Arabidopsis thaliana: one gene and its partner. The protein of the gene in region 1 interacts with the protein of each later gene in a pairwise test. Each region holds a gene or a part of one and is shown on either strand. Other genes may lie near its edges.

Evidence for each region.
Region 2: the proteins of AT1G20640 (region 1) and PP5.2 interact in a two-hybrid assay, tested with the Arabidopsis thaliana proteins (one large-scale study listed by BioGRID).

The regions. Positions count from the first base shown.
Region 1 is NC_003070.9:7,147,294-7,162,967, forward strand, and holds AT1G20640 (Plant regulator RWP-RK family protein), read left to right. Parts: upstream 1-7,116; 5' UTR 7,117-7,256; exon of another isoform or gene 7,257-7,464; 5' UTR 7,465-7,796; intron 7,797-7,876; 5' UTR 7,877-7,907; coding exon 7,908-8,687; intron 8,688-8,768; coding exon 8,769-8,816; intron 8,817-8,890; coding exon 8,891-9,803; intron 9,804-9,899; coding exon 9,900-10,693; 3' UTR 10,694-10,994; downstream 10,995-15,674. Other genes in the region: CAT1 (catalase 1), read left to right, coding at 120-216, 490-767, 946-1,722, 1,813-1,902, 1,993-2,060, 2,163-2,316; ASG5 (Protein kinase superfamily protein), read right to left, coding at 11,129-11,389, 11,472-11,863, 11,964-12,153, 12,247-12,401, 12,492-12,539, 12,630-12,729.
Region 2 is NC_003071.7:17,808,207-17,825,061, forward strand, and holds PP5.2 (protein phosphatase 5.2), read right to left. Parts: upstream 8,567-16,855; 5' UTR 8,349-8,566; exon of another isoform or gene 7,944-8,348; intron 7,747-7,943; 5' UTR 7,691-7,746; coding exon 7,615-7,690; intron 7,507-7,614; coding exon 7,337-7,506; intron 7,262-7,336; coding exon 7,190-7,261; intron 6,834-7,189; coding exon 6,683-6,833; intron 6,514-6,682; coding exon 6,352-6,513; intron 6,013-6,351; coding exon 5,904-6,012; intron 5,825-5,903; coding exon 5,707-5,824; intron 5,434-5,706; coding exon 5,286-5,433; intron 5,128-5,285; coding exon 4,879-5,127; intron 4,789-4,878; coding exon 4,663-4,788; intron 4,569-4,662; coding exon 4,468-4,568; intron 4,383-4,467; coding exon 4,308-4,382; intron 4,190-4,307; coding exon 4,130-4,189; 3' UTR 3,729-4,129; downstream 1-3,728. Other genes in the region: RLP29 (receptor like protein 29), read right to left, coding at 1-1,339; HVA22F (HVA22-like protein F), read right to left, coding at 9,254-9,280, 9,380-9,632, 9,724-9,846, 9,924-9,950, 10,049-10,095; SHP2 (K-box region and MADS-box transcription factor family protein), read left to right, coding at 12,396-12,622, 14,679-14,760, 14,881-15,042, 15,131-15,178, 15,283-15,324, 15,415-15,600. UniProt on the Arabidopsis thaliana protein: Isoform 2 dephosphorylates phosphorylated phytochromes, with a preference toward Pfr forms, and enhances phytochrome-mediated photoresponses, probably by enhancing their stability and their binding affinity for light signal transducers such as NDPK2.

The DNA of each region.
Region 1 (15,674 bases):
AATTGTTATGTATCAAGTATCAATGTATCATTATTTGTCATAGACGTTTCTCCAATCTATGGAAATTTGGTTAATTTTTTTGTGATCCAGTTCTTCTGAATTTATTTGTTGGTGTGCAGGTTCGTCCTTCAAGCGCTCATGATTCCCCTTTCTTCACTACAAACTCGGGTGCTCCTGTCTGGAACAACAACTCTTCTTTGACTGTCGGAACTCGAGGTCCGTTTCTCTTTCTTATCTCTTGAATACAAATTATAACAAATATGTTGAACCAGTGGTTGTTAGAAATGCCCTTAAAGCTAGAGTAGTGGAAGCCAAATAATTTTATAAACGTTTGGATAATAATGTCATTAGTGTTTTTGTTGTGGACTTGCGTAAATCACATTTCTTCCTTCAGTTTTATGCCAAATCTGATATAATTCCTCAATGTTGATTCTGTCTCAGTTGCTTGGATTTTTAGATATGTTAAGCGATGGTTTTATATATTGTCAGGTCCAATCCTTCTGGAGGACTATCATCTGCTTGAGAAACTCGCTAACTTTGACAGGGAGCGGATTCCTGAGAGGGTTGTTCATGCCAGGGGAGCCAGTGCTAAGGGTTTCTTTGAAGTCACTCATGACATTACCCAACTTACTTCTGCTGATTTTCTTCGAGGACCTGGTGTTCAGACTCCTGTTATCGTTCGTTTCTCAACTGTCATCCATGAGCGTGGCAGTCCCGAGACTCTCAGAGATCCCCGTGGTTTTGCTGTTAAGTTTTACACCAGAGAGGTTAGCTTTTTGTCTTATCCTTCCATTGTCTCTCTATTTTCTATAACCGATATCGATGTGTTTGCTGATATTCAAACGTTTATTTGCTTATCTATTTCGTTTCACCACCTATATGATTACTTGCAAATCATATCATACTATACTGATGATTCCTCTTACCCTCTGTTTGCAAACTCAGGGGAACTTTGATCTTGTTGGGAACAACTTCCCTGTATTCTTCGTCCGTGATGGAATGAAATTCCCTGACATGGTCCATGCATTGAAACCGAATCCCAAGTCTCACATTCAGGAGAACTGGAGGATACTGGACTTCTTCTCCCACCACCCAGAGAGTTTGCACATGTTTTCATTTCTCTTTGATGATCTCGGTATCCCACAGGACTACAGGCACATGGAAGGCGCTGGGGTCAACACTTACATGCTAATCAACAAAGCTGGAAAAGCTCACTATGTGAAATTCCACTGGAAGCCGACTTGTGGGATCAAATGCCTGTCGGATGAGGAAGCTATCAGAGTTGGAGGAGCCAATCACAGCCATGCCACCAAAGATCTCTATGACTCGATCGCAGCCGGGAACTATCCGCAGTGGAATCTCTTCGTTCAGGTGATGGATCCTGCCCATGAAGACAAATTTGACTTCGATCCGCTTGATGTCACAAAGATCTGGCCTGAAGATATCTTGCCTTTACAACCTGTTGGTCGCTTGGTCTTGAACAAAAACATCGACAACTTCTTTAATGAGAACGAACAGATTGCATTCTGTCCTGCTCTTGTGGTTCCAGGCATCCACTATTCAGATGATAAGCTACTCCAGACCCGGATCTTCTCCTACGCTGATAGTCAGAGACACCGTCTTGGACCAAACTATCTGCAACTACCTGTTAATGCCCCTAAATGTGCTCACCACAACAATCACCATGATGGTTTTATGAACTTCATGCACAGGGATGAGGAGGTAATCTTATCTCTCGGCTCTAGAAACTCCCAGATACTTAAATTCGCAATCACATTTATATGAAGTGAATTTGTTGCTTTCCAATTCCAGGTCAATTACTTCCCTTCAAGGTTGGATCCAGTTCGCCATGCCGAAAAATACCCTACAACTCCTATTGTCTGCTCTGGAAATCGTGAGAAGGTCAGAGTCCTCTACATACATTAATTTTTGATCACAAGTTTTATCCTCATAAGTCATAGTTAAAACTCAAATGTCATCTTTATATCACAGTGCTTCATCGGGAAGGAGAACAACTTCAAGCAACCAGGGGAGAGATACCGGTCCTGGGATTCAGACAGGTAAACACTAAAAACTCAAAAACCACATTGCAAAATCAACAATTACACATGAACCACAAATGTCATAATTCATTCTAATGGTCTTTTGTTTTGTACCAATAGGCAAGAACGATTCGTGAAGCGTTTTGTTGAAGCGCTTTCGGAGCCTCGTGTCACGCACGAAATCCGCAGCATTTGGATCTCTTACTGGTCTCAGGCAGACAAATCTCTGGGACAGAAACTAGCAACTCGTCTTAACGTGAGGCCAAACTTCTGAATGATATCATCTCTAAAGACTAAGTGAAATCCTATAAACTCAATATGCTCCTCTTACGGTTTGGTTTCTAAGTAATCTCGTTTATTGACAATGAAACGCTTAAAGAAGGGTACTAGTTCCTGTTTGTAATCTTCTTTTCAAAATATTAACGATTATTTTCTAAGGCAAATAAATAAAAAGCTATGACTAATATAGCTTAGTAAACAAGTATCACTATCATCCATTTGGTTCTACTTTAAAAATGGATTTTTATTTGTATTTTAATCTTCTGCATCTATGACGTGAGCTTATAGTTGGAATTTTATTGGGGTCTAATGTCAGACGCACGATCTTGATAAAAAAGTTTTATGTCTGTCCATATTTTGATAAATTGGCATAGTCATCACTCATCACGTCAGACCTTTTAATTGGTCAATCGTTATGATGCTACATCGCATTCATAATTTATAATTTACATGTAAGTGGGGGTGGAGTATTTGATTATTCCGCTGCTAGTGGAAATGCAAAAAGAATAATGAGAGCAGACCAATTTTAATTATGCTTATACTTTGTTGCGCTTAACTTTTAATCAGCTAATACAGTCTGATTAATCTGATGTCTCTCAGCCAGTAGTTTCTTTTCTTAAAGAGAACCTCAGCGCAAATCAGAAATTAGACACATGGAGCCACATCAAACTTAATCACCAATAATATCCTTTTCTCATGTATTTTTCAGTCTCATATTTTTTTTTACAACTTGTTAAGTGGTAGTGTGCGAAGATTTTAGATCGAAGTTACGCATCTTAAGAGATTATTTATCCAATGAAATGGTATAGTGAACTGTGTTTGCTAATGGTCCAGGATTTTATACATTTAAAATTCATAACTTTGCAGTTTAACGAAAAACAATAACAAATTTAACGTGTTTTGGTTGTCGTTAACAAGATCTCGGATCCATTTAGGAAAAGTCAATATCTTGATGACGAAATCAAGAAGACTTTACTTTGATTGCATGTGACGGAACTTAAGCACTATACTAAACGATAAAATGTAATTATGTAAATATCTAAGTTTTGAGGTGTATAATGCAAGAGTATAATTTCGTGGACCTACGTCTAGGTCTACCAACAAATGTACTCAACATAAATAATATCGTCTCCGTACCCCAAAAATAAGGTATATAGGTTTTATACCTAACCAAGACGTGCAAAAATTATCACAATTATTTGACGTGGAAGTTAATGATTCGGCCAACCTTATACTAATTTTGTTTTGCAATTAAGGACTCATTTTTTGTGTATTATATTAAGGGATCTCTATTATCAATGTCCAACTATTAATCATTTTTTATACGTTTCAAAGCCCTATGAAAAGAGATTCTATTTGCCCGGATCATAATTTAAAATTGTGTAATCAGAATCTTCTTTTGTATTTGCAAAGTTTAAAAATTCATTGGTTACTCAAAAAAGTTTGTTTTCCTTGCAGTTCTATTGGTTTCTTTCTGATTATTGGAGTGTTTTTAGTTATATTTTATTTGTTTGTGAAACTGATTATTGGCTGTTTAGGCAATAAACTATATACAATTAAAGTAGTGCAAGATTCCAATTTACCCGTTGGGACTTAAATCTCAAACAAAAGTAATGAAAGAATTCATGTGGATGTGACCATGATTTGTGTTCGGCGGATGTGATCAATTATTTAAGCTCAAGTATCATGGTATCTAGTTTATATAAGTGGATAAGATATATGAACACAATTATTTGTAATCCACAGTTAATTTTGTATATATTGTTTGTTTTTCTATTATCCTATGAAGTTCAACAAACAAATCACACTCCACTATACATGACGGGATCAGTAATTAGTTCAACGCCTTTATACCATATGTTAAATATTGATGTGATTTATACACATTTCAACATGGGGTTGCTAAACTTGAACATAAGATCTTATGTTTTAAATTTCAGATGTCTAAGCGTTTATCTAAGCCATCCAAAATCACCCTAACTTCGATTTTATTCAAATAAGCCACTAAATTTAGTTAGAGTCAAAAATCTAAAATCTAAATTCTAACCGGACACTTCGTACATACAAACCTGATCGAAGATTAGAAGTTATATAAAGAGGTCTCTTCCACAGAGAAACAAAAAAAACGAAAGATAGTTAATTTTGTGATCGTCTTTTTGTCCAGAGTTCTTCACAATGAAGGAAAATATTACGTATGGGAGGAGTGTTGCATTTTGTTTCATCAAAATATATAAAACTCCCAACAGCCCATATGAGTGACCTAACGAAAACTTTTTAATGCTGACTAATATATATCATCATCTTCAATTCATTCTCAAATAAATATCTTTTTATTTTATTTAGAAAGCACTATATAATTCAGTCAATTAGAGAACCAAGTTGACCATATTTAAAACTAAAAGATGATATTTAGATCTTAACTACGTGTCATATATGATGAATTCTGAATATTTTTCTAATTTGAATATTAGACGAAAAAGTTGGTCATTAGCTTTATCCTTGGTAAAATGTTAAATTTTGTTAAGTAATTTTTCACTGATTAAATAAATATTTCAAATAAAATAAATAACTCTTTACAAAAAAAACTCTAGCATTTCGGTAGTCCACTAATTATACAATTATATAAAAATCCATGTTTAAGTTTTGACCTATATAAAAATAAAAATAAAAATCCATGTTTAAGTTTGGACCTATATAAATAAAAAGTAAAAATCCATTTTGAAGATCAAAATCCAACTTCTTTTATAGTAGGACCGGAATAAAACAATGTACAGTGTGACACACTTACTACTGGCAAAAAAAAGGGATAAATGAATGTGATTGAAAATGTGAAGTCATGAGTAAATATTATGTGGAGTGTACCTAATTAGAGAATACGTTAGACAAAACCTAAGTGGAGGAAACGCAGTCATGCACCACTTGTTTCGTCTTTTTAGCTTTGCGCTTCCTGTGAACGTAGATTGAAACACTTGCGAGTATAAACATATTCCTTGTTACGTATAATTAAATTTGTATGAATAAACTTAATTTACGTTCTGTTCTCTGTTATGTTACGTTTCGTTTCGTTTCCGTTACGTACAAAAAAAAATATTTTCATATGAGATACTAGACTAGAACACTAGAGTACTTATTCATGTTATATATATCCCATCCGCCAAAAGCTATTTTGTCCTACAACTAACGTGATCCAAACTAATAATCATGAAACCCTACCGAATACGAATTATGTAAATTTTTATAAAATCATCCTCTCACTCACTCGTAAATGTGGATTTCACATTTGTTCGTCCAATCTAACTCCCCTCCTGAAAACTATCATACCCCTTTTTTAAAGCATCATTCAGTTTGTCTTTTCTCCCTTCTCAGTTTGTTGTACCATATTATAACCAGACCATGAATAATCTCTTATATAACTTGACTTGATCACAACCAAATCTTTTCTTAAATTTGATTTTTTTTTACAAGTCCTTTTCTCTTTTTTTGAGCATTTGAATGTTTTTGGAATGACTCCAATAATTAAACCGCTTCTTTTTTTTTTGTTAAAAATGTAAATATTTTATAAAATAAAATAAAAACAGATTAGATTTACAGTCAAAAGTTATTGACCTATACAAATGATTATAGCAAAAAAAAACATGGAAACATAATAAAGCATAATTGAACCGCTTTCCACAACCTTTCTTAGAAAAACATTTTCCACATCGATTAAACCGTTCCACAAATCCACAAAATTCATTCATTTCTTACTATGTGGTTACTAATTAGAAACGTATATGTTGATTGTTGAAAACATATTTTGATGAATTGTTCTAGCTCAAACAATGAAAACATCCTTCATTTTTGTGAGAACTCGGTTCGAACTATCATAAAACTTTTAAAACGAAAGTATATTAATAATCAATGGTTTTGCCTAACCAAATAAATATTTCTTTTATTCGTTAGCGGTGGAATCTATTCACGAGCAGAAGATGGTATTGGTTACACAATACCCTCCACTAAATAGAAACTTTTGTTTCACTGAACTACTTTATATTGTCAATTTGAGTAGATTAATATATTTTTTCTGATCAAATTGAGGGAAGAACCTACTCCCCCACTCGTTTATTTTTATTTACTCTATAACTTCTCCAAATAAGCCTATAGGCTATAAAGAGTATAATAGTGGCCTTTAAAGATTCTTTAATTTTTCATAATTATAAAAAGATTATAACAACATGTAACAAAATTGACAATTGTAGGACATGAATAATTATTAACTTATCCTCAAACAGCAACAAAGCGTCTAAAAATCGAAAACGATTCGCTTTGGTCATCACCAGCATAATAAAATGTTGAAGAATCAGTCTCCAAATTCAATAAGCTTTTGAACAAATTGGCGAAATCAGATATTTGGTATATTTTAAAGATACGTACAGCCATTATATTTGATTTTTTCAAAAACTAAATTAGGATCTTATTCTACCACTGATTGTATTAAACAACAAAGTATTTAATCTTTAGTCAGCTTAGAAAAAAATCTTAATATTAAAGAAAAAAAATGCTTTTACTATTTCTTTTTTTATCTTAATATTTCAGTCATATAGTTTAAAATTCTGGTTAACAATTGTCAAATGAGATATTCCAAATTCTTTTTATTTACATATAGTTTAAAATTCTTGTGAATTTTCTATTTATGTAAAAAAGTCAAAATGTGATTATTGGTGAAATTCTATTTGCTATAACAAAACAAAAAAAAAAAGGTTTTGACTTTTTTACATAAATAGAAATTCACTGCAGGGAGACATGTTGTTGGTCATTTGTTTATTCCCTCTGTGTCTGTATTCTCTCTCTCTGGAAAGTGGAGGAATCTTCTATCTCTCCTCCAGTCAAAAAAACCCAAGCAGCCTGGAAGAGAGAGAGAGAGTAATGTGATACTATATGAAAACAAAATTCATAGTAAGGTCTCGCCATGTCCCGATGCATAAATGAGATAACGATCCACAAAATTTTCATTTTAAAAATTTCATCTTTTTTTGTTTTCATCTTCCGTGAAGAAGTAGTACCACATAACCCCCATCAGACATCTTTAAAGCTTTCTTCTTTTCCTTGTTTCTTTTGGTTTTGAGATTTGGGTTTCTTTTCATATCTGTTCCTTCTATCTCAGACAACAAATTGCAACAGAGGAAATTTAAAAACCCACTTGAGGAAGGAATCTTTGAGAATCTCTCTCTGACTTGTGAGTTTTTCCATCTAGTTTCTCTTTTAAGGGTTTGATTTTTCATTGTAAACGAAGCTGATTAGTTCAAAGTTCGTTTTTTTTTGTGTTTCATTGAGCCATATTGTTTGACCAGCTTGAAGGATTCAAACAAAAAGTTTTTGTTTTTGTGTGTCTACTTTGGATTGTTTCATTTTGTCTTCATGAATTAGATTTAGACAAGATTTGTGCTTGATTCGTGTTAAGTTTTGATTTGGGCCCTTCAATTTCCTACTTTATCGGTTGGTGAATTCTATACACATTAGTCCTATCACGACCTTCTGTTTGTTTGTTTTTGAAAATGGGTGCTTCGCATTTGCAGATGTTGCTTCATTGATTTTGGAGATATATCCATGGAAGATAGTTTCCTTCAATCTGAGAACGTGGTTATGGACGCTGACTTCATGGATGGATTGTTACTAGATGGTTGTTGGTTAGAGACTACAGATGGATCTGAGTTTCTTAACATAGCTCCTTCAACTTCTTCTGTTAGCCCTTTTGATCCAACTTCCTTCATGTGGTCTCCAACTCAAGATACATCAGCTCTTTGCACATCAGGAGTTGTATCTCAGATGTATGGTCAGGATTGTGTAGAAAGATCTAGTCTTGATGAGTTTCAATGGAACAAACGATGGTGGATTGGACCAGGAGGTGGTGGTTCTTCGGTTACTGAGAGGTTGGTTCAAGCAGTTGAACACATTAAAGATTACACAACAGCGAGAGGCTCACTTATTCAGTTATGGGTTCCGGTTAATAGAGGCGGTAAGCGAGTTTTGACCACAAAGGAACAACCTTTTAGCCATGATCCGTTGTGTCAAAGACTTGCAAACTATAGAGAGATCTCTGTGAATTATCACTTCTCTGCTGAGCAAGATGATTCCAAGGCTTTAGCTGGTTTGCCTGGGAGGGTTTTCTTGGGGAAGCTTCCTGAATGGACTCCTGATGTTAGGTTTTTCAAGAGCGAGGAGTATCCGAGAGTACACCATGCTCAGGACTGCGATGTCCGTGGAACGCTGGCGATTCCGGTGTTTGAACAAGGTAGTAAGATTTGCTTGGGTGTTATTGAGGTTGTAATGACCACTGAGATGGTTAAACTAAGACCTGAGCTTGAAAGCATTTGCAGAGCACTTCAGGTTTGTGTTCTTCTCTAAAGCTTTCAGCTTTTGCTATAGAAATGGTTTTCTGAGAGTGATGAATGTGTTTCCTTTTTGCAGGCAGTTGATCTTAGGAGCACCGAGCTTCCGATTCCACCTTCTCTAAAGGTAATCAAAGAAACTACATGAGTTCCTTATGTTCAGCTTTTGGGTATAAACAAGATTGTTTCTTCTTTATTCAGGGATGTGACTTATCCTACAAAGCTGCCTTACCTGAAATCCGAAACCTCTTGAGATGTGCTTGTGAGACTCATAAACTACCTTTAGCTCAGACATGGGTTTCTTGTCAACAGCAAAACAAAAGCGGGTGCCGTCACAACGATGAGAACTACATCCATTGCGTATCAACCATTGATGATGCTTGCTACGTTGGTGATCCAACAGTTCGTGAGTTCCATGAAGCTTGCTCTGAGCATCACCTCTTGAAAGGCCAAGGAGTTGCAGGTCAAGCCTTCTTGACCAATGGACCTTGCTTTTCATCTGATGTATCTAACTACAAGAAATCAGAGTACCCTCTCTCTCACCATGCTAATATGTACGGTTTACATGGCGCGGTTGCAATTCGCCTGCGGTGCATCCACACGGGCTCTGCTGATTTCGTCTTAGAGTTCTTTTTGCCTAAAGACTGCGATGATCTGGAGGAACAGAGGAAAATGTTGAATGCTCTTTCAACTATTATGGCTCATGTGCCTAGAAGCTTAAGGACTGTTACAGACAAAGAACTAGAAGAAGAGAGTGAAGTGATAGAGAGGGAAGAGATAGTAACGCCAAAGATAGAAAACGCATCTGAACTCCACGGAAATTCCCCATGGAATGCCTCTCTTGAAGAAATCCAGCGGAGTAATAATACTAGTAATCCTCAGAATCTTGGACTGGTATTTGATGGAGGAGACAAACCAAATGATGGTTTTGGCTTAAAAAGAGGTTTTGACTACACCATGGATTCTAATGTCAATGAGAGCAGCACTTTCTCTAGTGGTGGTTTCAGTATGATGGCCGAGAAAAAGCGTACAAAAGCAGATAAAACCATCACTTTGGATGTTCTTCGACAGTATTTCGCTGGGAGCTTGAAAGATGCAGCCAAGAATATCGGTGGTAAGCAGCATTTTTTTATCTTCTCGATTCAATTTATCGGAAAGTCCTGAGACTGATCTCTTCTTTTTGCCCTTTTCTTGTCTTGGAAATTTTCAGTTTGTCCAACGACCTTGAAGAGAATATGCAGACAGCATGGTATACAAAGATGGCCTTCAAGAAAGATAAAAAAAGTGGGACATTCTCTGCAGAAGATCCAACGAGTGATTGATTCGGTTCAAGGTGTTTCTGGTCCTCTTCCCATAGGCTCATTCTATGCAAATTTCCCCAATTTAGTCTCACAGTCACAAGAACCATCACAACAAGCCAAGACCACGCCTCCTCCTCCGCCGCCAGTGCAGCTTGCAAAGTCCCCTGTATCCTCGTATAGTCACAGTTCAAACTCTAGCCAATGTTGCTCCAGTGAAACCCAACTAAACAGCGGTGCAACAACCGATCCTCCTTCAACTGATGTAGGAGGTGCATTGAAGAAGACGAGCAGCGAAATCGAGCTTCAAAGCTCGAGTCTTGACGAGACAATTTTGACTCTCTCCAGTTTAGAAAACATCCCTCAAGGCACCAACTTGTTATCATCTCAAGATGATGACTTTCTGAGGATTAAAGTTAGCTACGGAGAAGAGAAGATCAGATTACGGATGCGGAATTCGCGCAGGTTAAGAGATCTATTGTGGGAGATTGGGAAGCGGTTTAGCATAGAGGATATGAGCAGGTATGATCTAAAGTACTTAGACGAAGACAATGAATGGGTTTTGTTGACTTGCGACGAAGATGTAGAAGAGTGTGTAGATGTCTGCAGAACTACACCGAGTCATACCATTAAGCTTTTGCTTCAGGCTTCTTCTCATCATTTCCCTGAACGTTCTTCAGCTACTGAATACAGTTTATGGCACTGACCTTAAATCAGAGAAAGAAGAAAGAAAAAGAAGCGTTTTAGGACATGACACAAAAGATAGTAATACCTTTGTGTTCTGTTATAATTGTTCATAATTTTATCTTTGGTTTTTTTGAAAGATTACTAGGAGAGGTGCTTTGGGTTTTGTTTTTAAAAACGCACCAGAGACAAGAAGAGAAGAACATGTAAAGATCCTATCTTCCTGAGAAATTGAAGTTGTTGTTTTTTTCTTCTGAAATTCCTTTCGAATGTGGTTTTCAAATGTAGATACACATATAAAAGAACTTTAATTGTTTCCATAATTGCCATATACATCAAGTAAAAGAGACTAATAACGAAACATTTACCAAACATATATTGTTTTCTGAGAAAGAAACAAAAAAAACCATTTTTACACAACACCAAACTGAAATTCTTAAAAGCTGTTTTTGAGTTTTTACAAGTCTCGTCGCGGCGTTCTTGAAATCTCTGGTGACGGTGATGAGACGTTTCGAGCTTCATGAGATCTGCTCTGTGCGGCTAAGTACTCTAGTGCCACAACTATGTCACCTATGAACGGTCGATAATGAGCTTCTTCATTAAGACACATTGCAATAATCGCAATCGCATAGTTTAAACACCGTCTTGGGTATTTTCCTCGTAGAGACGGATCCACTAAATGTCCAAACTTCTTCTGATCCTTGAGGTATGGACGTGACTGCAAAGATAAGAAAAGTTTTGGTTATAACTGGAGTAGGATTTTAGGTATTACGCTGTAATCGATTTAGTAAGTTTCTTACCCAAGTAACAAGATTCTGCTCGCCTTGCTTTTGACCTAAATCAATAGCTTTTCTCCCAGTAATCAGCTCAAGCAACACTACACCGAAGCAGTAGATATCCGATTTAACAGTTAATTTCCCGCTCATTGCGTATTCAGGAGCACAGTAACCGTAAGTTCCCATGACACGAGTCGATACATGAGTTCGATCACCAACTGGACCGAGTTTCGCCAATCCGAAATCCGAGAGTTTTGGACTGAACTCTTTATCTAACAATATGTTTGCGGATTTCAAATCACGGTAAATCACTGGCGGGTTAGCTGTGCAGTGAAGATACTCTATTCCTCGAGCTGCACCAACCGCGATTTTCATTCGAGTATTCCAGCTTAATGGTTCTTGATTAGACTCAAGATCTGAAAAATCATACAAAAGAGTACAACATTTGAAACTGAACATTCTTAAGATAGTTACAACAAAACACTTGAAAGAACAATGGAGTAAAAGTAAACTAACCAAAAAGGTGATCTTCTAAGCTTCCCATTGGCATGTATTCATAGACAAGAAGTCTTTGATCACCAGAAGTACAGTAACCGATCAATGTAACGAGATTGGGATGATGCAATAAGCTAAGCATAAGAACTTCTACTATAAACTCTCGGTTCCCTTGAAGCCCATCTGGATTCAATTGCTTAATAGCCACTACCTGTTTTCATCAAATCATATCAAATTACATCAAAAGCTCATTAAAAACAGAGTTTCTCTTTAAAAGGGCTTGAGGAAGAGAGAGAGATCTGACTTGTCCTGAATCTAAACGTCCCTTATAAACTCTGCCAAAACCTCCTTCTCCGAGCAAATTAACTTCCCGGAAGTTTCTTGTAGCTGCAGCTAACTCCTTGAACGTGAAGCTCCGAGCTCCACCACCAGGTATCGGACTATTCACTTTACCATTTACTGTTCCAAATTCCGACAGAAATTATTCTCAAAAAATGTGTTAAAAAGACACCATAAAAGGGACATAATCAAGAAACACTCACGACTCACCTAAGATACCCGAAATCGACTCTGTTCCTGTTGTATCACTTCCATGAACTGAAACCACAAAGAAAAATACTATAAACAAAAACGAAAACTTTTGAGGTAAAAACAATGAAAGTTATTGAATTGTGGACATGAAAGTACCTGATGAATCGGTTTGGTAACGAGAGTTGCATCGAGCGTTATCAATGTCGACTCTTATGTCCTTGGTTCGAGGATTCAAACAAGAGAAACAACAAGTCATCTTCTTTTTTCTTTAAGACTTACAACAATGGGGATTTAAAGAAGGAATTTTTAGAAAATGGAGCTGGTTCAAGAAACCAAGCTCCGAAAAATCCCAACACCAGACACAAAACCTGACAAAATTACTAAAGAAACAAAACTTCAAAACCTAGGATTTAGGGTCTGAAACTAAAAAAGAGATTGATTTCCTCTGTTTCTTCTCTTTGGATAATCCCAGAAAACAAAAGAACAAACTTTTTTGGCAGAGTAAAGCGAAATTATTGAATCGGCCGGCGATAGATTGCAGGAAGACAGAGAGAGAGAAAATATATTTTTAAAACAAAAAAAAACTGAAGAGTTACTAAAATTATACAAATTACATCTAATCACGACAAAAAATGACAAGGATCTTATAACAACAACAAAAAAACTGAGGTTTAAACAGTATATAGAAAAAAATAAAAATCACGGTAGAGACACTACTTTGATTTTAACAACTGAATTTTTGTTCTTCTCATTTATTTTATTTTAGTTGGAGCTACTGAAAAATATTTAAGTGGTAGAAGACGACGAGTTTCGTTTTGTTCTTTTCCAACTCGGTCCCATTTTTTTCAATAAAGAAAATTAAATTCTTACTCATTCTCTATCTTCTATTCAAAAATCGATATTTAAAAAAATTTCCCACAAAATTAAACTCTTCTTCTTCTTCTCTGGCATTTAAACCGGTTTGGTCCCCTTCTCTTCTCTGATAACCACGCTTGGTTTAAATTACTATAGTACCCTCTAACAGTACAGTGTTTGTAAGAGAACACCCATGAGGCCGACAGTGGATTTTGAAGTCGAGATTTTGACAAATGGACGGTCCAGATTAGATTATCTTGACCTTACGTATTACAGTGGGTCACACATACTGTCCTCTGCCTTCCCCGCATTTGACTTTATTTACCGTTTTAGTAAATTCTGTATCTATCATCATAAGAATAATAATGGCTACTTTATAAATCAATCAATTATTAGCTGATATGTTTGGAATTTTTCACCTATCTTTTTCTATCATATCTTTGCTTCTTTTCCTTCTTTTTATCATCGAGCTGTTTTTTTTTTGGTTTTTTTTCTCGTATTTATGACATTATTGTTGATCTTGTTACCATTCACACATCTACAATTTAAAGCATGTTGATGGAATTAAAATTTTGAACCAAAAGAGAGAATTATTATGAGCGCCCTTTTACTTTTGAAACTCTTTTTTTTATGTGTCCTCCATATTTTTGCATTGTGTTAATAACATTATTGTGAATTTACTGCTACTAATGGCATATGTGTTTCCATTAAATCTTCCTTTTAGTTTCCATAGCTATTTATTAAAAAAAATATATATATATATATATATAACACAACTACTATTTTAATTTTAACATGCAACCATGCATTCAAAACTGTTATTATTTTTTTTAGTTTTTGTTTGAAAAAAATATCGTTTTATATGTCCACTTTTTTAAAAAAACGATATGATGCATTTTGTCTTTCTTGTGGGATTAGAAATATATGTGATGGTTTCGTTTGGAATCTAGAGTCTACCTTTACATTTTCGCATGATTTTAATCCATCTACAATCTCGCTCTTAAACTAACTTTCTTAGCTCTATTGTAGTTTTTTTTTTTACATACGGATGATGACTAACATAGAACTCATCAAAGCCTAAATTCTCAAAGTTTGCTCATGGAAATAAAAATAAAAAATTTAAGCTTAAAACAACCATGGCTGACAAGTGTATGAACCATGCTAAGAGAAGAGAGATACTATCAGTAAAAAACAAAAGGCAACAGCAATCCAATAAGATACATGGACTAGGTACGTTACAACTTACGAGTTGGCTTAGGCTTAACAATGTTTTCTGCATAGTCTAGAAAGGCGTAAGATTTATGAGACTTGAAGGCTTCCACTCCTTGGATTTCAACTCTCGTGATAGCGTTCCTCTCGGGGTTGTAGTAGAGAAGGTAGAAAGAGTTGGAGATATTGCATGGCGACAACACAATATCCCCCGTGTCACTCGTTCCAACAAATCGTAACTTGGTCTCCTCAATTATATTCTTCCAAGGAGGAGGCAAAACGTAGATATAACTCGACCATTGATGTTTCTCGGCATCTTCTAAAACCCATAGTTGAATTCCTGTATATCGTATTGAGCCAGGACCAATATTTGCCTGGAGTTTAGCTATTTTACCCTTGTGGTTTACAAGAGTTGGTTGAAGATTAACTCCTGAGTTACGTTTCATGCCATTAGCTTTCTTTATATAACTAAACTTCTCAAATTTAATGTCAAAGCAAACTATATCAGGAAACCCGTCTAAGTCATCATGAACTCGGCCTAGGTAATACAAAACACCATTGATGCATATCCCATCATATAGAGGCCGAGGATAACCACTAGCTTCATAATCCACAACATCAGGATAATGTGCCATGTCACATTTGATCTTCCTCCATGAGAGTTCTTTTCCAGTTCCGAATGTGAGAACTTGATGCTCGCCAAAGACTCCAAACTTTGATTTGGTCATACACAATACTTTGAACTCTTTGTTGATCGGATCATACCCAAAATAGCTTGTGATTATAGTTCTATTCGTTTTCACTCTTGGTAAGGGCCAGGATTCGCCTGTGCTAGGGTTACATATCAGTGGCTTAGAAATTGTTCTTCCCTTCAAATTCTCGTATGACTATTGAATCCATATATGAAGCCACAAACAGGACGGCAAATGCCGCAGAGATGATTAATAGAGAAGCTCATATGAAAATTGACCGCTAAAGGAGAAGAATCACGAGGCTTTGGTGATGAGAAGAAGAATGTTTCACCGTCTTTGGGGCAGGTGAACAATAGCTTCGGGCGTGACGAAGATATGGTGAAGAACGATTCGGTGAAATCTGAATTGTTAAGTGTGGAAGCACATAGCTTCGATAAGCAACGAA
Region 2 (16,855 bases), on another chromosome or scaffold:
GAGCATTGGCGAAGAAGCAAGATCTGTAATACCGAGAAGCTTGAGATTTCTTCTTCGATGAATGCACCGATAAACCTCCACCACTACTAACGTTCTTCCCGCATACATCAACCCCGGTCTTGACAACACTAAACTCATCCTCCGGATTCAGACACAATCCTCTGTTCCCGCTCAAATCCAAGTTCTTACCCAACCGTCTTAAGAAACTTGAATCAAACGGAACAACGCCGATCAGTAAGTTCCTGCTGAGATTCAGATGGAAAACGTGTGGCAGAGACTCAAACCCTGATGGGATTTCGCCGGTTAATCTGTTGTTAGCAAGAGACAACGAGCTAAGGTTCGTCAATTTGGTGTAACTCTCCGGGATTACGCCGGAATATCCAGAATTCTCGAGCTGGAGCTCTTGAAGTTTAGGAAGAAACCCTAATTCAACGGGGAGAGCAACGAACATTGGGTTATTATCCATTATGAAGTACTGCAAACTCTGAAGGTTCGAGATTCCTTTTGGAAAAGCTCCCTTTAGTTTGTTGTTGCTCAACGCCATGAAAGACAACGAACGAAGCTTTTCTACACCTTCCGGGATTCTTCCGAAGAGAGAATTTGAGCTCAAGTCGAGTTTCTGAAGCATACCCAGTTGAGAGATCGTTGGAGGGATTGTACCGGTTAAAGAATTGTAGCTTAAATCTAAGCCAACGAGGTTATTTAGATTCCCTAATTGCAGAGGGATTTTACCTGTGAGCTTGTTGTAGCTGAGATCGAGGTGTACGAGGCTTTTCAATGAGAAAATCGCCGGAGGGATATCTCCGGTTAATCGGTTTTGTGAGAGAGTGAGGATTTGTAAAGATTTGAGAGAAGAAATGCGAGGAGGGATTTGACCTGAGAGAGAAGGGTTTGATCTGAGGCTAAGTTGTTGAAGAGAAGAGTTAGGGATGAGTTTTATAGGGAACATGATTGTGGTTGGGAAGTGAGTGAAGCAGTTGAAGAAGAAGACTGATTGGAGAAAAGGGAGAGTGAAGATTGAAGAAGGGAAAGAAGCAGAGGATTTACAAGAGGGGTTTGGAGCAGAGCCGAAATCGAGTCGAGAGACGTGTGATAAGTGGTCTGGACCGGTTTTGCACTCAATGCCTGGCCAAGATGAGCCAGGTGCACAAGGGTTTGGGTGGGATTGACGCCATTGTTGATCAGAAGACATTGATTCCATGATCTTGAAGAGAGTTTCTGACTCAGATGGAGGCATTGAGGCAGAGACTCTGTTTTCTTGGCAGAGGAAGAGTGGTGTTATCAGGAGAAAGAAGAAGAGCAGTGAGGAAGGAGATGGTAAAGCTCTCTTCATCGTCATAGGTTTTGGTGTAAGAGAGAGGAAAGAGAGAGTGTGTGTGTTTCTTGGTGATATTATACTGAGAATTCATAAAAGTTCTTCATTCTCCAATGCAAAAGAAAATGGAGAGATGTGACGTTAATTAGAATCTTTGAGGAGGAAAAGTATAAAAAGTGAGATTATATCATCATCGAGGAGCAAAAACCCAAAAGAGAAACTTAGGAAAAGGTTAAAAGAGTTTAAGTGAAATGTTTAAGGATTAGGGACAAGACAAGACAGAGACACGTGAACAATCAGAATCTAAACAAGGTATGATAAAAGAGTGAAGACTTAGAAGAAAGCTAGTAAAGAATACGAATAGGTTTTGAGTGTGTGAGATGCAATTATAAATGGAAGTGACTGAAAGTGACACGTGTGGGGTAGTGAGAGACAAAGAGGTAGGGACTCAAGTCATGAGATTGGGAAGAGAAAGAGAAGACACAAAATTAAAAAGAGTACTTGATGGGTTTTGTAAGGCCATACACACATGTTTCTTCTTTATTCAAAACACTTTTCTTCGAACCAAATTTTGAAGGACTTGTCTTTGTTGGGAGGTAGTCTCGTGAATACGTTAGCTCCTCGAATCTCTCAGGTTCTGTGGAGCGGCTTTCCTGTTTTATGTCTCTCTCTCTCTATATATATATATGTATTAGTTTCTAACCATGTACTATTTTTGCATACTCTATATTAAAATGTACAATAAAGAATGTGATTTTGTATGATCCAAGTCTATTGCAAAGGAAGATAGTCCTCACACATGTATGAAATAAGATGAGACTAACGATCTTAAATAGTAAACGCATGGATCTATTTATTAATTGGTGTTAAATTTTGGAATCTGAATACACACTACTTCAAACCGATATGAAATTGTTATGATTGATCCAATCCGATATTGATCCTAGAATGAGATTCTTTCTGGATGAATAATTAGTCATCATCTCAATGTGACATGTTAGAACTTATACATTAACTTTGAAGAAAACTAGTTTAAGAAAACCAATTCGTAATCAAGATTTGATGTAAGATGACCATCTGGTTGTTGGTTCAAAAGAGAACACACCACATGACAATCAAAATGTATAGTTGGTACAAACTGTTTCAAAAATCACCCAAAATAGTTTCTTCACTGTTGACAAAATAGTTTCATTCTTTTTCTATTATTTCAAATCATCTTTTCTCTATAGATATTTGTTATCAATAAAAACTACTAATAAGGAAAAACTCTTGAAAAGTGGTGGGCATAGTATGTCTCTCTATTTACTGTCTTCAATTATTCATGTCTTTTTTTCAAAATTTCTCTGAAGTTTTACTATTCATAGTTTGAATTGATCCAGACAAAATCATAGTTATTTGTAACTTAAATACAGAAGAATTGAAATACATTTGACAACCCCATCAAGACTTTTGCAAACAAAAAAAACTCAAAGAAACTTGTTTCTGTCCTAGGATTATTTTTGTTGTTGTACCTTAGAATGTTATGAATATCTTACGACATAACGGTTATTTAAAACAGAGAAAACATCATTTTGTAAGAAGTAAAAAAAGAGGTTAAAATTTGAACGTTAAGAAATTGTACTACACTTGGCAATATGCAGCAGATGTTTTGTAAGACAATGTACAATGTATTGTGATGTATATGGTCTGGTGTGTATTATATGTAGTCAAGGATCTAATCTTAAGCCTGGACTGTGAGTCTGAAGAGGTAAATTCAGAACCTACTATTTACCGTACGGATCTAGCTCAAGCATGCCCTACACCAAAATTAAAAATCCAACGGCCATAAAACTCACTTGATTGGTTACAAGACTTTAAAACCGGTCAACACCATAATCCAAATTTCTAGCTACTTCCCTTAAACATCTGACAATTTTTGTAAATTGTTTTTATGTAATCCACGTAATGCTTTCTCGATCTCTCAGGCCTTTCATCAGTGCTTTACGATTTGACACCACTCCATCTACTTTTGCTTTCTCCACATTTTAGTACATGTATCTATCTATCTATCCATGCATGGACTAAAACAAGGTTTATGATTCTGTGATTCAGTAGTGGTTTGTCATCGCTAAACAAAAGCACATACTTTGTCAAAATTCTCTGCAAAATTCATGGGAGAATCTGCAGGTATTTTGATCTGAAACAGCTCATGTAAGAGAGTGGGGAAAACAATAGTGTTATTAACTTTCTTTAGACTGTTGTATTTAAACAGGTCACACCATTTGTACAAACTCAAATAAGGGAAAAACTGAATCTACACGAGAGTAACTGTTGCAAGAACTCAACACTATTGACCTCTCTGTTTTTGTTTGCTGTCTTTGCTTGAATATTTGAATTAAACTCCATTCAAAAAGACTCTAAGAAGCAGACAAGAAGCTTTAAAGAAACACCTTTTGATTTTTGATTCAAGAAACCATTTTAAGTACAAAGTTTTGGGGGGTCATTTGGTCACTCTTTTGTTGAGTAATCACAAGATTTTCATCTAAAATAAGAATGATACATTACCCCCTCTTACAACATAAGACAAAAGGGACAAAAGTTGCTGGATAAGCTTAAAGGAAGAGTGAAAATCTTTATCAGAAAAGAAGGAAGAAGAAAAAAAACGATCAAATCCGGATACTGTACCTTTAATTATCATGGCCTCCCTTTTCTGGAACAACATGAAAAAACTGCAGAAGATAAAGGGAAAAAAAAACTTATATCATTATGTTTCTGAACCACTTCTGGTCTTGAGTCTTTAGAATAGCATTTTGAGTAGAAGAAGCTTTTTGCTGGTTAGTTGAACATCCTGAGAAAGTTGTTTGCATATGCCATAGGCTTCACATCCGGATGAGGCTGGGAAATAACAATATCAGAAAATTAGAAGAGTGTTTGAATGAGTCTAAATCAAACCGTGAACTATCTTCTGTGAAACATTCATAAGAACAATGCTATGTAAGAGGACTACACTCACCACTGCTGAGAATGTAACAATGTTTGGCTTCATATCAGGAGCTTCAAAACGAATGAAGGCTCCCTTATTACCCATCTACAACAATACCAGTCCATGTTAAGTAAAGAATCAAGTAACTGGGTGCTGTTTTGAAATAAGAAGACAGGAGTGTCTGAGTTACCTGATCACAGTAATTTGGCGCAGAGAAGACAGTTATGAGTTTACCGTCATGTTCAACCTCATAACCTTCATCTTTTACTTCATGTGACCGGACCAACAAATCTGCCACAATCATGAAAATGCAAGTTAATAGCTATCTCAAGTAAATATTAGTTTGCGAAACCAAACCCCGATAATAACAAGACAGTGAACTAACCTAAATTGTTATCTTGCAAAAACCTCTTTGTCACATCTCCACCAAATGATAGACCAACTCCTCGCTTGCTTGGGCCTCTTCCAGGGAGAGGTTGAGGATCACTCCACAATAGTTCACACATTAGTCCTGCATAAACCATTAGCAAGATAAGATGATTAAACAGAACACAATTACATGAGAAGTAATCTTACAGAAGATGTATATGATGAAACATACCTTCCTCTGGTGGCTCACAGAATCTGTCAATGGCTCTGATGTCTGAGAGTTTCACGCCGTCAACACTGAAAAGACCTCCATGTACCACGAAGACCTTCCCATTTATAACATGAGCCAACGGGAGGTAACAGAAAACTTCAGCAAAGAGATCCACGAATTTTTCACTCAACTTGGACCGAACCTCACCCTCAAAACCATAAATTTTGTTCATGCTCTTGCTTTCATGGTTTCCTCTGGCTAGATATATGGCTGCAGTACAAAGGTGTGTAAATGGCGATTTACAATTAAAATGGAAACTTTTAACCCCATCAGACAATAGTAAATAATTTAATCCTTGCCAGTGATAGCAAAAGCAATTAAAACATGAACATCAAAGAATTATTACAACAAAGTTTTAGAGAACTTACATGATGGGCACATGCACTTGAAAGCAAACAAAGTGAGGATGATCTCAACGGAGAATGAGCCTCTGTCCACAAAGTCGCCATTAAATAGGTATGGGTTCTCCTCCGAAGGGAGGCCATTAAGCTCAAAGATATTGAGAAGATCGTAGAACTGCAAAAGCAAACAATGTGTCAAACATACACCCAATACAACACAATACAGCCCTTAATAGTGCAAGAGGGAGTAGAAGGTTAGCCAATAAATTCAAGATATGAAAAGTAGAATGATTCATAATAAAATCCAATTCCAGAAATATAGTATGGGAACCGGTTTATTGAAAACTTCTACATATATAAACAAGAGAACAGGAGATGGTGGATCCTCGCAGATTCATTTGAGACATTAAAATATTATGTTCGGAGAGTAGGTGAAACCAAAGCATACCTGACCATGAACGTCACCGCAAACAGTGATATGTTTGCCATGTGGAACACTTATATCAACAAGAGAAGGCAGTGCTAGCAAGATTTGCCTAGTCTGTAAGACGATTTGATAGGCATACCTACATATAAAGTGCCCGCAAAGCATGAACATATGGTAACTGTGTAAATTAAGTTGAGTACCCCCAAAACAATACATACCGTTTATGCAATGTTTTTTGGTTCTTAAAATCCTCCATCATCGTTTTCACAAAATCTAAGGTAACTTCCTCTCCCTCAATTCTAGCACCAGAATATTGTGGCTCAACCTCTACAATAAAATTGAAAAGAATAAGTAAATTGACAAAAGGTTAAGAACTCTGTAACAGTGAACACCATTTATCAATGAATATTAAAAGCTACAAGTCATGGATACACATTTTTTACAATGTAGTAAAAGAGGTATGCTATCATAACAAAACAAAAATAGAGATATTAGTAAATCTATGAAATGTTCCACTCCTGTTGAGATGTTTTTGACATCAATATCATTGAGCTTTGTCAATTCTCAACTGAGACTCCAAGAAAGGAAACTATCCAGGTTTTGATATGCATGAAAACAATCCACATTGATCCTAGGATGAGGGTTTAACCAGAGAAAAGACACTACTACCACTGAAGCTACCCCACCAAAATGTCCCTAATACCACCGAAACCAACACCATGAGTATCTCAGTTGTGGCAAATCCCCGGACCGCCACCACCATTACTGCTGCAACAACTGCTGCTAAAGCCGTTTTGGTGGGCATGGATGATGATCTGGGTTTGTTCCCTATTATGTGACAATAGGTAGAAGAATGATTACTAGTCTAAAGCTACATTCAACCATTTTTCAACTACTGAATCAAAGGCATGGCATAACAAGAGACGAAAGAACCAGGTGACACAACAAACTGCAAGCTATAAGACAACCAAAAAATAAGCAAACAGATGAAGGATACCTATTGTATGGAAGTCAATGGACTCAGCTACTGAACGCCTTTCAGATACTGGCACAGAGATTGCTTCTTCAAATTTGAGTTTCATCACTGCTTTCTCACATTCCTTTAGCTTTCTTGTGGCATCAGGGTCATTAGGAGAAAGCCTTTTTACCTAAAATATATATAGCAGACCAAGTCAACAATACCATACACGCTAGTCTTGCTTAAAAGATCAAGACAGTCGACCACCAAACCAGATTTTGACAGATAACTATCACTCTATCAAGTTTCCAGGATCTAATCACTTGATCAGACCAAAACAATCAAGTTATGACCATTTGGGTGGGTTCAAGCTATACAAGCCTACAACATTTCATCTATAGTATTTTGACATTTCTCAACTGAGCTGATCCTCACTCAAAAAGTTTAGAGTAAACTAGAAAGAGGACTATCAGATCAGCAGCTAACAAATATAAACGAAAGAGACAACAACTTAAATGGCACAATGCTCGTGCAAGAAACACTAACCTGTTGGAAGTCCTTCAAGGCATCCTTAAATTTTCCCATGGCAAGATACGCAGCACCACGCCTGTAATAGCCCTGTGATTCAGTAGATAATCAGTGAATATGGCTGAATACACGAAGAAACAGGAACATCTTGTCACAGGATGATACCTTAGAGTATCTTGAATCAACTTCAATGGCCTTCGATGCATCCTGTATTGCACTGCCATATTCCTCCAGTTTTGTGTGAGCAAATGCACGATTTGCCCAATACACAGCGTTGTTGCTGTTGAGTTCAATAGCTTTTGTATATAGATCAATAGCACTGGAGTATTTGTGACCTGTAAGCAACAAACAACATTAAGCAAAAAGATAGGAGTACCTCACTAAAAGAGTTGAAATAAACTGATGCCACAAGATTATGTAAAGGTTTATGATAAATTACACACCTTTAAAAGCTTCGTTGGCCTGACTTTTAAACTCCTCTGCCCGTGAAACATCAGAATTCTCATTCTTGGTCTCCATGTTGTCAGGATGAACTTATCTCTTACTGAATTCCTTATTATCCGGTGAAGCCACAACTGATTGACAGAAAATATGTAAAGTTAAGGTTTTATCTCAGTCATGCCCAAATGCACGATAGCAATAATCATAATCACTTGGCCAATTCCTCATCAATAAGTTTTCTACTTAACAGGGAGCTAGTTTAAGAGCTTTAGACATTGAAATTATACTCAACCTAAATAAAGTATAGATTTTTCGTAATACAGCCACTGACTTTAGTCATGCAACGAGATACATAGGAGGAAGAGAAGTCATTCACACAGAAAAACATTCCTACACATTAATGAACTTGAAAAACGCACATAACTAAATCCAGCTAAGAACACGAAACATAACAGATAAAAAAGCATTAAGCGAATAGATAAGAAGCAAAAAGTTGTGAACTTTCAAATTCTGCATCGTTTTCATAACAGCTCAACAACGAATTAGAAGAATAATCAGAATCGTGGCCGTGACAAGTGGAAAAAATATATCACTTACAAACAAATTCTGTGAAAGGATCTATTAAAACCCAGATAAGAGGAAAGCAGAACTGGACAACAACAGAAGGAAGCCAGCGTTTAAGACATGTTTTGTCGGGAAATCAGAGAAACTCATTACTCTAAAGATAGATTCAAACCTGAAAAAAGATTCAATCTTGGCGACAGCGGGAGAGGAAGAGGTTGACGAGGAGTGAGACAGGTTTTTTAAGAGAAGCTTCAAGTGACTAGAAACCCTAGATTAGATTGGTCAAATTAGAGTATACGCTTCAATCTATGAGAAAAGAGGGGTTTTTGGAAATTATTAATGTGTGTTCTTTTCTTTTTTTAAGTTGAACAAAATAAAAAATAAAATTATTAATGTGTTTTTTTTTGATAAATTGGAAATTATTAATTTTGCGCACTCAATTCTTTACCAATTAAATTAAATAAATGGACGAAGAGATATGTAGACTTGTATTATCTTTTTCTGACGTCATATATCAATTTTTTATGTATGGTTTGTGGATAGAGATGGACAAATAATAATAATCACGGATCTCAGAGTATTAAAGTATAGAATATAGATTAATGACCCTAACAAAATTAATCACATTTTTTTTACGTCATATGAATTACATTTTTTTTGTCGTTATATGAATTACATTTAAAAACTTCCAAAGATGTGATTTTATTATTTTACATAATTAAATTAGAATAAAATTAGATTTAGGAAATTAGCAAAACACCAATTGTGATATAGCGCGAGCTTGAATTTTATTTTTATTTTTATGTCAAAAAGAGTGTTGTATTCTCATTTTAATTCGAATCGTGTCCTGATGTTTTGTTTAATCAAATTGAGACCCATCCAAATGTATGTTGTCAAAAAGAGTTGGACTGGCTTCTCTAATAGTATCTTTGGTCATAGAGTACTAGAACACAAATTTGTCACCATAAATCTTTCAAACATATATATCTTTTTCATTATAGTATTGCTCTATACAATCTATGTACATACATGTACAAACCAAAGAGTAATGTTTTTCTTGACTCTTGATCTTCCATCTCAATGCTTTCTAGTTTCTTTTTCAGCCTACATTTGAACACAAATAATGAAGTTAAACTCCCAGAATATATGTATTGGATTATATATACATAACTATATTAAAGATCAACAAGAGAAATCATATACCGCTTTGATTGCTTTCTCAACAGAATCCCATCCAAACCGGTCAACGTAGTCTTGAACCGATTTTCTAGCATCAAGACTCATCATCTGTAAAACTCTTCTTTGTTCGTCTGTATAATTCGTTCCTCCTCCAACATTCATCCCAATTTTGACGTATTGTCTAACAAAATTGGAGTAAATGTAAGCTGCACCACTGAACATTGGTAGCACCAACCACATACAGAACAAAAGCTTCAAGTATGGCCAAAATGGTAGCCTACAATATGCAAAAGAACACCATTTTTTTGTCTTTATAGGCATAAATTTTTGAATTCGTAACAGAATTTAGTGAATAATATTGTAATTACCAGGCAAGGACTCTCCAAACGGATAGCTCGAATATCGTTATTAAAGAGTAAATGATCCAATATGTAAGCCATTGTTGATCATCTAACATTGTTGGACTCTCTATTGCTCGAAATGATGCATACCTAATCATTTATTCAGTTAACTATCAAGTTGCATTTGTAAAAACCAAACATTTAAATTCAGATTTGATATCACTTACAGAGGATAGAGAAGCATGACTCCAGGCCTGCATGCAACAAGAAAAAGGAAGAAAATAATGTTAAAAATTTGACAAATATAGTGTTTATTTTTATTATATGAGACAGAATTTGAATAAAATCCTACCCAACTAGAGCATCAAAACGTTTTGCAATCGCAATAATGAAACCCATTTTCTTTTTGAGTTTTTACTCTTCTTTCAACAGAAACTTTCTCAAACGTCTTTAGCACTGTGACGTTGGATATATACACAAAAGCTTGAAATTTCTTCAAGCAAAAGAATCTTTGTGGGAGTTAAGGCAACAAGCCAGGTAAAGAATCTCCAACGCATTGTTACGTTTTCATGAACCTATTTATTATATGTTCTAAGAAGAAAAAAAATATCTCAAAGTAAACGTTGGAAAATTTCTGATGAAGGGAAATCCAAAGTCTTGGGTTTAGTATCCCTATGAATGGTATTTGGAATATGTTTTCGTCAAAACAAAAGATTCTTTTCTTTTTCACAAGAGTTAGTGATCAATAACTTATGCACTAATTAATGAGATTGGACGTATACACAATTTGATTATGATACTTGAGTAAAAATCACCTGTCCTTTAATTTGGAAATCTCTCTTTCTTACCCATTTATATACTACTTCTTTTCATTAAAATTAAATTTCAATTATCAATCATCGTTCAATTTGATAAAGATTTAACATTTTTTGTCACAGGGCTAGTAAAAGCAATCTTTACATAATTCATCTTTCTTACATATATATATTACCTTTTTCTTCATTAGTATTCTATTTGATTATGATTATTTTGTCATAAAGCTAGTAAATTAAACACTCGATATGAGAATTATATTACTTCACGCTAATTAACTCTTAACACAACAAGAACTAGTGCATATTCAACTTTCAAAGCATATACTATATATTGAGAATATAGACCACGAAAGTCAATCAAAAGACCTACCAGCTCTCATCAAGTTCTTTCTTGAAATGATTTTGCAGAATTTCCAACTTAATTAATTCGACATGAATGTGAAAATGTGTGTTGCTCGTTAAGAAAATTGAATAGAAGTACAATGAAAATGATGAGGAATGGGCAAAACACAAAAGAGTTTCCTTTCGTAACTACAATTAATTAATGCAAATCTGAGAAAGGGTTCATGGATAATGACTACACACATGATTAGTCATTCCCCGTGGGCTCTCTGCTTTCATTTACTTTATTAGTTTCATCTTCTCTAATTATATTGTCGCATATATGATGTAGTTCTTTTGTCTAAATTACGTAATATGATGTAATTAATTATCAAAATAAATATTCAAATTGCCGTTGGACTAACCTAATGTCCAAGATTAAGACTTGAACATAAGAATTTTGGAAAAACTAAACCAGTTATAATATATACTCTTAAATTGCCATTTCTGAACACAACCAAATAATAATATATACTATTTACAGTTTTTTTTAATTGGCAAGAACACTGAAATCTTATTCATTGTCTCGCTTGGTAGTTGACAAGTTATAACACTCATATTCATATAACCCCATTCTAACGTTGACGACGAACACTCATATAAACCACCCAAATTCTTAGCATATTAGCTAAATATTGGTTTAATTGGAAATATTTTTTTTATATATAAAATGCCAGGTAAATATTAACGACATGCAATGTATATAGGAGTAGGGCAATAAAAAGAAAAGGAGAATAAAAAGGGATTACCAAAAAAGGAAAGTTTCCAAAAGGTGATTCTGATGAGAAACAGAGCCCATACCTCTCTTTTTTCCTCTAAACATGAAAGAAAAATTGGATGGTCCTCCTTCAATGCTCTCTCCCCACCCAATCCAAACCCAACTGTCTTCTTTCTTTCTTTTTTCTTCTTTCTAATTTGATATTTTCTACCACTTAATTCCAATCAATTTCAAATTTCAATCTAAATGTATGCATATAGAATTTAATTAAAAGAATTAGGTGTGTGATATTTGAGAAAATGTTAGAAGTAATGGTCCATGTTCTTTCTTTCTTTTTCCTTCTATAACACTTCAGTTTGAAAAAAAACTACCAAACCTTCTGTTTTCTGCAAATGGGTTTTTAAATACTTCCAAAGAAATATTCCTCTAAAAGAAATTATAAACCAAAACAGAAACCAAAAACAAAAAATAAAGTTGAAGCAGCAGTTAAGTGGTACTGAGATAATAAGAATAGTATCTTTAGGCCAATGAACAAATTAACTCTCTCATAATTCATCTTCCCATCCTCACTTCTCTTTCTTTCTGATCATAATTAATCTTGCTAAGCCAGGTATGGTTATTGATGATTTACACTTTTTTTTAAAAGTTTCTTCCTTTTCTCCAATCAAATTATTAGGGTTCTTCAGTTAATCCTTATAAACCATTTCTTTTAATCCAAGGTGTTTGAGTGCAAAAGGATTTGATCTATTTCTCTTGTGTTTATACTTCAGCTAGGGCTTATAGAAATGGAGGGTGGTGCGAGTAATGAAGTAGCAGAGAGCAGCAAGAAGATAGGGAGAGGGAAGATAGAGATAAAGAGGATAGAGAACACTACGAATCGTCAAGTCACTTTCTGCAAACGACGCAATGGTTTACTCAAGAAAGCTTATGAGCTCTCTGTCTTGTGTGACGCTGAGGTTGCTCTTGTCATCTTCTCCACTCGAGGCCGTCTCTACGAGTACGCCAACAACAGGTACACATCTTTTAGCTAGATCTTGATTTTCTTGAATTTTTTTTCTAGAATAAAGTTTCGACTCTTCTGGTGGGTTTTTCAATCTTTATGGTCTCTTTATAGTTTTTTTCCTTAGTTTCTCTGAAGCTCAAATCTCTTTAAAAATCCCCAAAATTAGGGTTTGTTTAAAACTAGGGAACCCTACTTTAACTTCTTTCTCTTAGTAAAAAAGCAGTGAGGGTCTTCTCTGATCATTAATTAGCATCCCCCATACCTTGTTCCAGTCACTTTTTCTCCACAAATCCTTATAACAGTATCTATATATGTATCTATTTATGTCAGTTTGTACAAGACACTTCGATCAATTTGATGACCCATCAAGTTTTATTTCTGCAGATTGATCATTAGGTTTCCATCATAGTAATGAAAAAGTAGGGTTCTTGATAAAATTATAATAATATATATTATTTGGCTATATAAAAAAGCTATGTAGATTCCTTCAAAATTGATTCACTAGGGAGAGACTAGTAGGTGTTTGTCTTCTGACACTTCTCTAATCTTTTGGTGAATCCTTTTGTTAAATCAAGAAAATGAATCAGGGACAAAGCTTATTGTTGAGTCACTTAATTAATCATCCGATCCATCAATCAAGAAAAATAACGAAACAGAAAATTTTGATTTTTGATTGTTATTTTCTCCACTTCAAGTTGGGGACTTGTCATTTCCGTTTTTCTATACGTTTCCAGCTATTAACAGCTCATGTTCATTTCACCATTTTGATTATTTGTCTGCTTTTTAAAGATAAATGTTTTCAAAAATATTGTTTTTATTTGCTTGGCTAGTTAATACTATAATTGAGGTTGATGTATGACTATAATCTATAAGTCAAGTCTCATATCATGGATCTAAGTTAAAACTAGTAAATTTGTAGTTTCAATGTGAACTTTCACAACGACTAAAGAACTGATCTGAAGTTTATAATGGACATGACTAATTTGATTAACAAAAGAGGAATGCATTATGTATGTAGAAACATGTGATATATATATGTTTCTATTATCAAAAGTGTAGTTAACTTTCTTATTTCAAACACCCTCATGCTTTAGTAGTATCTTACTTTTGACATTTCTCAACTTCAGCTTTCCATTATACAACAGCACAATGTAAATTACTTGTATATGAATATGAAAGCATAACGTTATGCAAAGATTTCTAGCTTTTCTTTTTCTGTTTTGCAAAAGATTTACAAATATCATGTTCTTGGTAAAAACATACTTGCCTCAGCCACATATGCATGTAAATGTAATGTTCAAATATTAATTCAGGAAAAACAAATGAAGAAGCAAAATTAGCTTCTAGAGTAGGGAATCTATTGACTTGACCTGAAAATCACTTCTTTTTCTTAAAGCCTAGTAGTGAATTTTTTAATCTAATTAGGCCAAAATATATACTAGCCTAAAATATAATTTGGATTTTGTGTCGTACATAAATTGGGACCAATTCCAATTAACTAAGAGCATATGCAATTCAAATTCTTTTTATTTTCTTCTCCGATTTGCTACTTCTTTCTTTTGTATGTTTTCAAATTAGGATTACACTTTTTTGGGGAAGTACACATTAGGGTCTTCTCGAACTTTGATTATACATATATATATATATATATAACTTTGTGAGATGTCACTGTTAATAGATAATAGGCAATAACAATAATATCCCAAAAAAAGAAGGGCAAACAAATCATATACTATATGGTACTGGTCCATTCACTATTTTGTCGGTTGAATTTAAGGTTTTGGGCGGACAAAACTTTATTTTCAAAACCTTAATATCCGTCTTTCTGTGTGTTTTGTATATCCAGAAGATAAAAATATCAATTTCTTTAACGACTTCATATATATATATTTTTTTCTCTTCTGGTTTTAGTGTTTGAATCCAACAGTTATAGTTTCGTGTGTCTTTGTTTTACTTGTGGTGGTTTAAGTTTGAGATTTTCACCGATTGCATCTATTTACATATATAGCTACCACAAAAAAGATTGCATTTTAAAATCTTTTCCTTTGTGTGAATGTTGATGAAGTGTGAGAGGAACAATAGAAAGGTACAAGAAAGCTTGCTCCGACGCCGTTAACCCTCCGACCATCACCGAAGCTAATACTCAGGTTAGCTTTTAATTAATACACCTAGCTAGCTAGTTCGTTAATTACTTAATTTCTTCTTCTTTTAGTTATCTGACCTTTTTTTCACCTCTTGTAACAATGATGGGATCGAAATTGATGAAGTACTATCAGCAAGAGGCGTCTAAACTCCGGAGACAGATTCGGGACATTCAGAATTTGAACAGACACATTCTTGGTGAATCTCTTGGTTCCTTGAACTTTAAGGAACTCAAGAACCTTGAAAGTAGGCTTGAGAAAGGAATCAGTCGTGTCCGATCCAAGAAGGTACAATCACTAACTCTCCATCAATCTCCTTATCATTGAATATATATCCATCTGATTCTTGCCCGTTATATTTGGTTTTTCTCTCCAGCACGAGATGTTAGTTGCAGAGATTGAATACATGCAAAAAAGGGTAAAAGTAAAACCTATCTTCCTTCACAAGTAACTTACCCCCTACTTTATTAGCAACTTCTCTTTCTGATGATCATCTTTTTTTATTTTCTGTTGTCGCTTGCATTGTAGGAAATCGAGCTGCAAAACGATAACATGTATCTCCGCTCCAAGGTTTTATACATAACTCTTTTTGGCATTTTTGATCATCATTTTTTTCCGGTAGACAATCTCTTGATGTGCAAATTCTAAATATCTCTGCAGATTACTGAAAGAACAGGTCTACAGCAACAAGAATCGAGTGTGATACATCAAGGGACAGTTTACGAGTCGGGTGTTACTTCTTCTCACCAGTCGGGGCAGTATAACCGGAATTATATTGCGGTTAACCTTCTTGAACCGAATCAGAATTCCTCCAACCAAGACCAACCACCTCTGCAACTTGTTTGATTCAGTCTAACATAAGCTTCTTTCCTCAGCCTGAGATCGATCTTATGCATATATATATTCATGTTACACTTACTGTCAAAAAACTTAAAATGCAGATGGTAACGATTTGAGAGGGACCTAATAATTTACATATATCTTGATTATGTAAGTTAAGGCTAAGACAAGAGATCCAAAAATAAAATGGGATTTATTGCTAGTTAGTGTTGCATATTCAAATCAAAATGTGTTGATGTGACGTAAAAAAAGCATATGCAATTTCAACAAGACTATTGAGATGCAGTTTGAGATGCAAAAGCTGCATATGCATAGATAGATCCCAAGTTACATCTAATTAAGATCTTTCTAAATTCTAAATCATGGACATGGAAGATATAAGCGATATATATAGGCCAAACCTTTTTCCCCCTTTTGTTTTCAAACTGCAGAGGATATAGTCTCTTTATCCTTCTAAATCAGCTCAGGATTTTTCACTTTCTAAGGTAATGCATAAATTTACAAGAAAGAGATCGTAGATGGTACCTCAGGTTTACTAAGACAAGGCAACTGAAATGAAAACCCTTGTGAATTTGAGAGTCTTGCTAAAGTTCAGTGGATCAGGATCTTAGTCCCAGCGTCATGTCATAGAGGGACAAGAAGATGTGTAAGATCTTCAACAGCAATAAATCCTGCTTGTAGAAGTTCCTGTATTAACACTCTGCAGTATATGAGACTGTATCAAGAAGGAAGCTTGATGTGAGAAATTGATAGTCTCTACATCCACAGCTTTACCAGTACCTAAAACTATGAAAGGACATCATGCTGCATCATAAGATGGAACTATTAGTAGAACTTTGTGTCATAATGTTTTTGGATTTTAGAACCCTTGACCTTTAATCATTCTCATTCTGCGTCGAAAACCTGCAACAACAGAAATGGCAGAAGATATTTGAAAACAAATGGAGCTAAGAGATGTACCATTTTCTAATGAATTCAACGAGACTTTTCTTCCTCAATTCCATTGTCAGCAGCTCCTCCCAAGCTTTCTGCAAGACTTAATACATTCATGCATTTCTCACCATGATTTATAGTATAACGGCCAAAACCTGTCATAGTGTCTTGACCTAACTTTTACTGCAAGAGAGCAACCAAACAAGCTACATATCCTATCAGTTTGATTTAGTGAAAACTCTCATAGCTAAATTTTGTTTACTGCTACATGTGTTCTGGCATCTGTCTTAATCTGAGGTGACTGTCTCCAAAAAATAAGTTTAGTTTC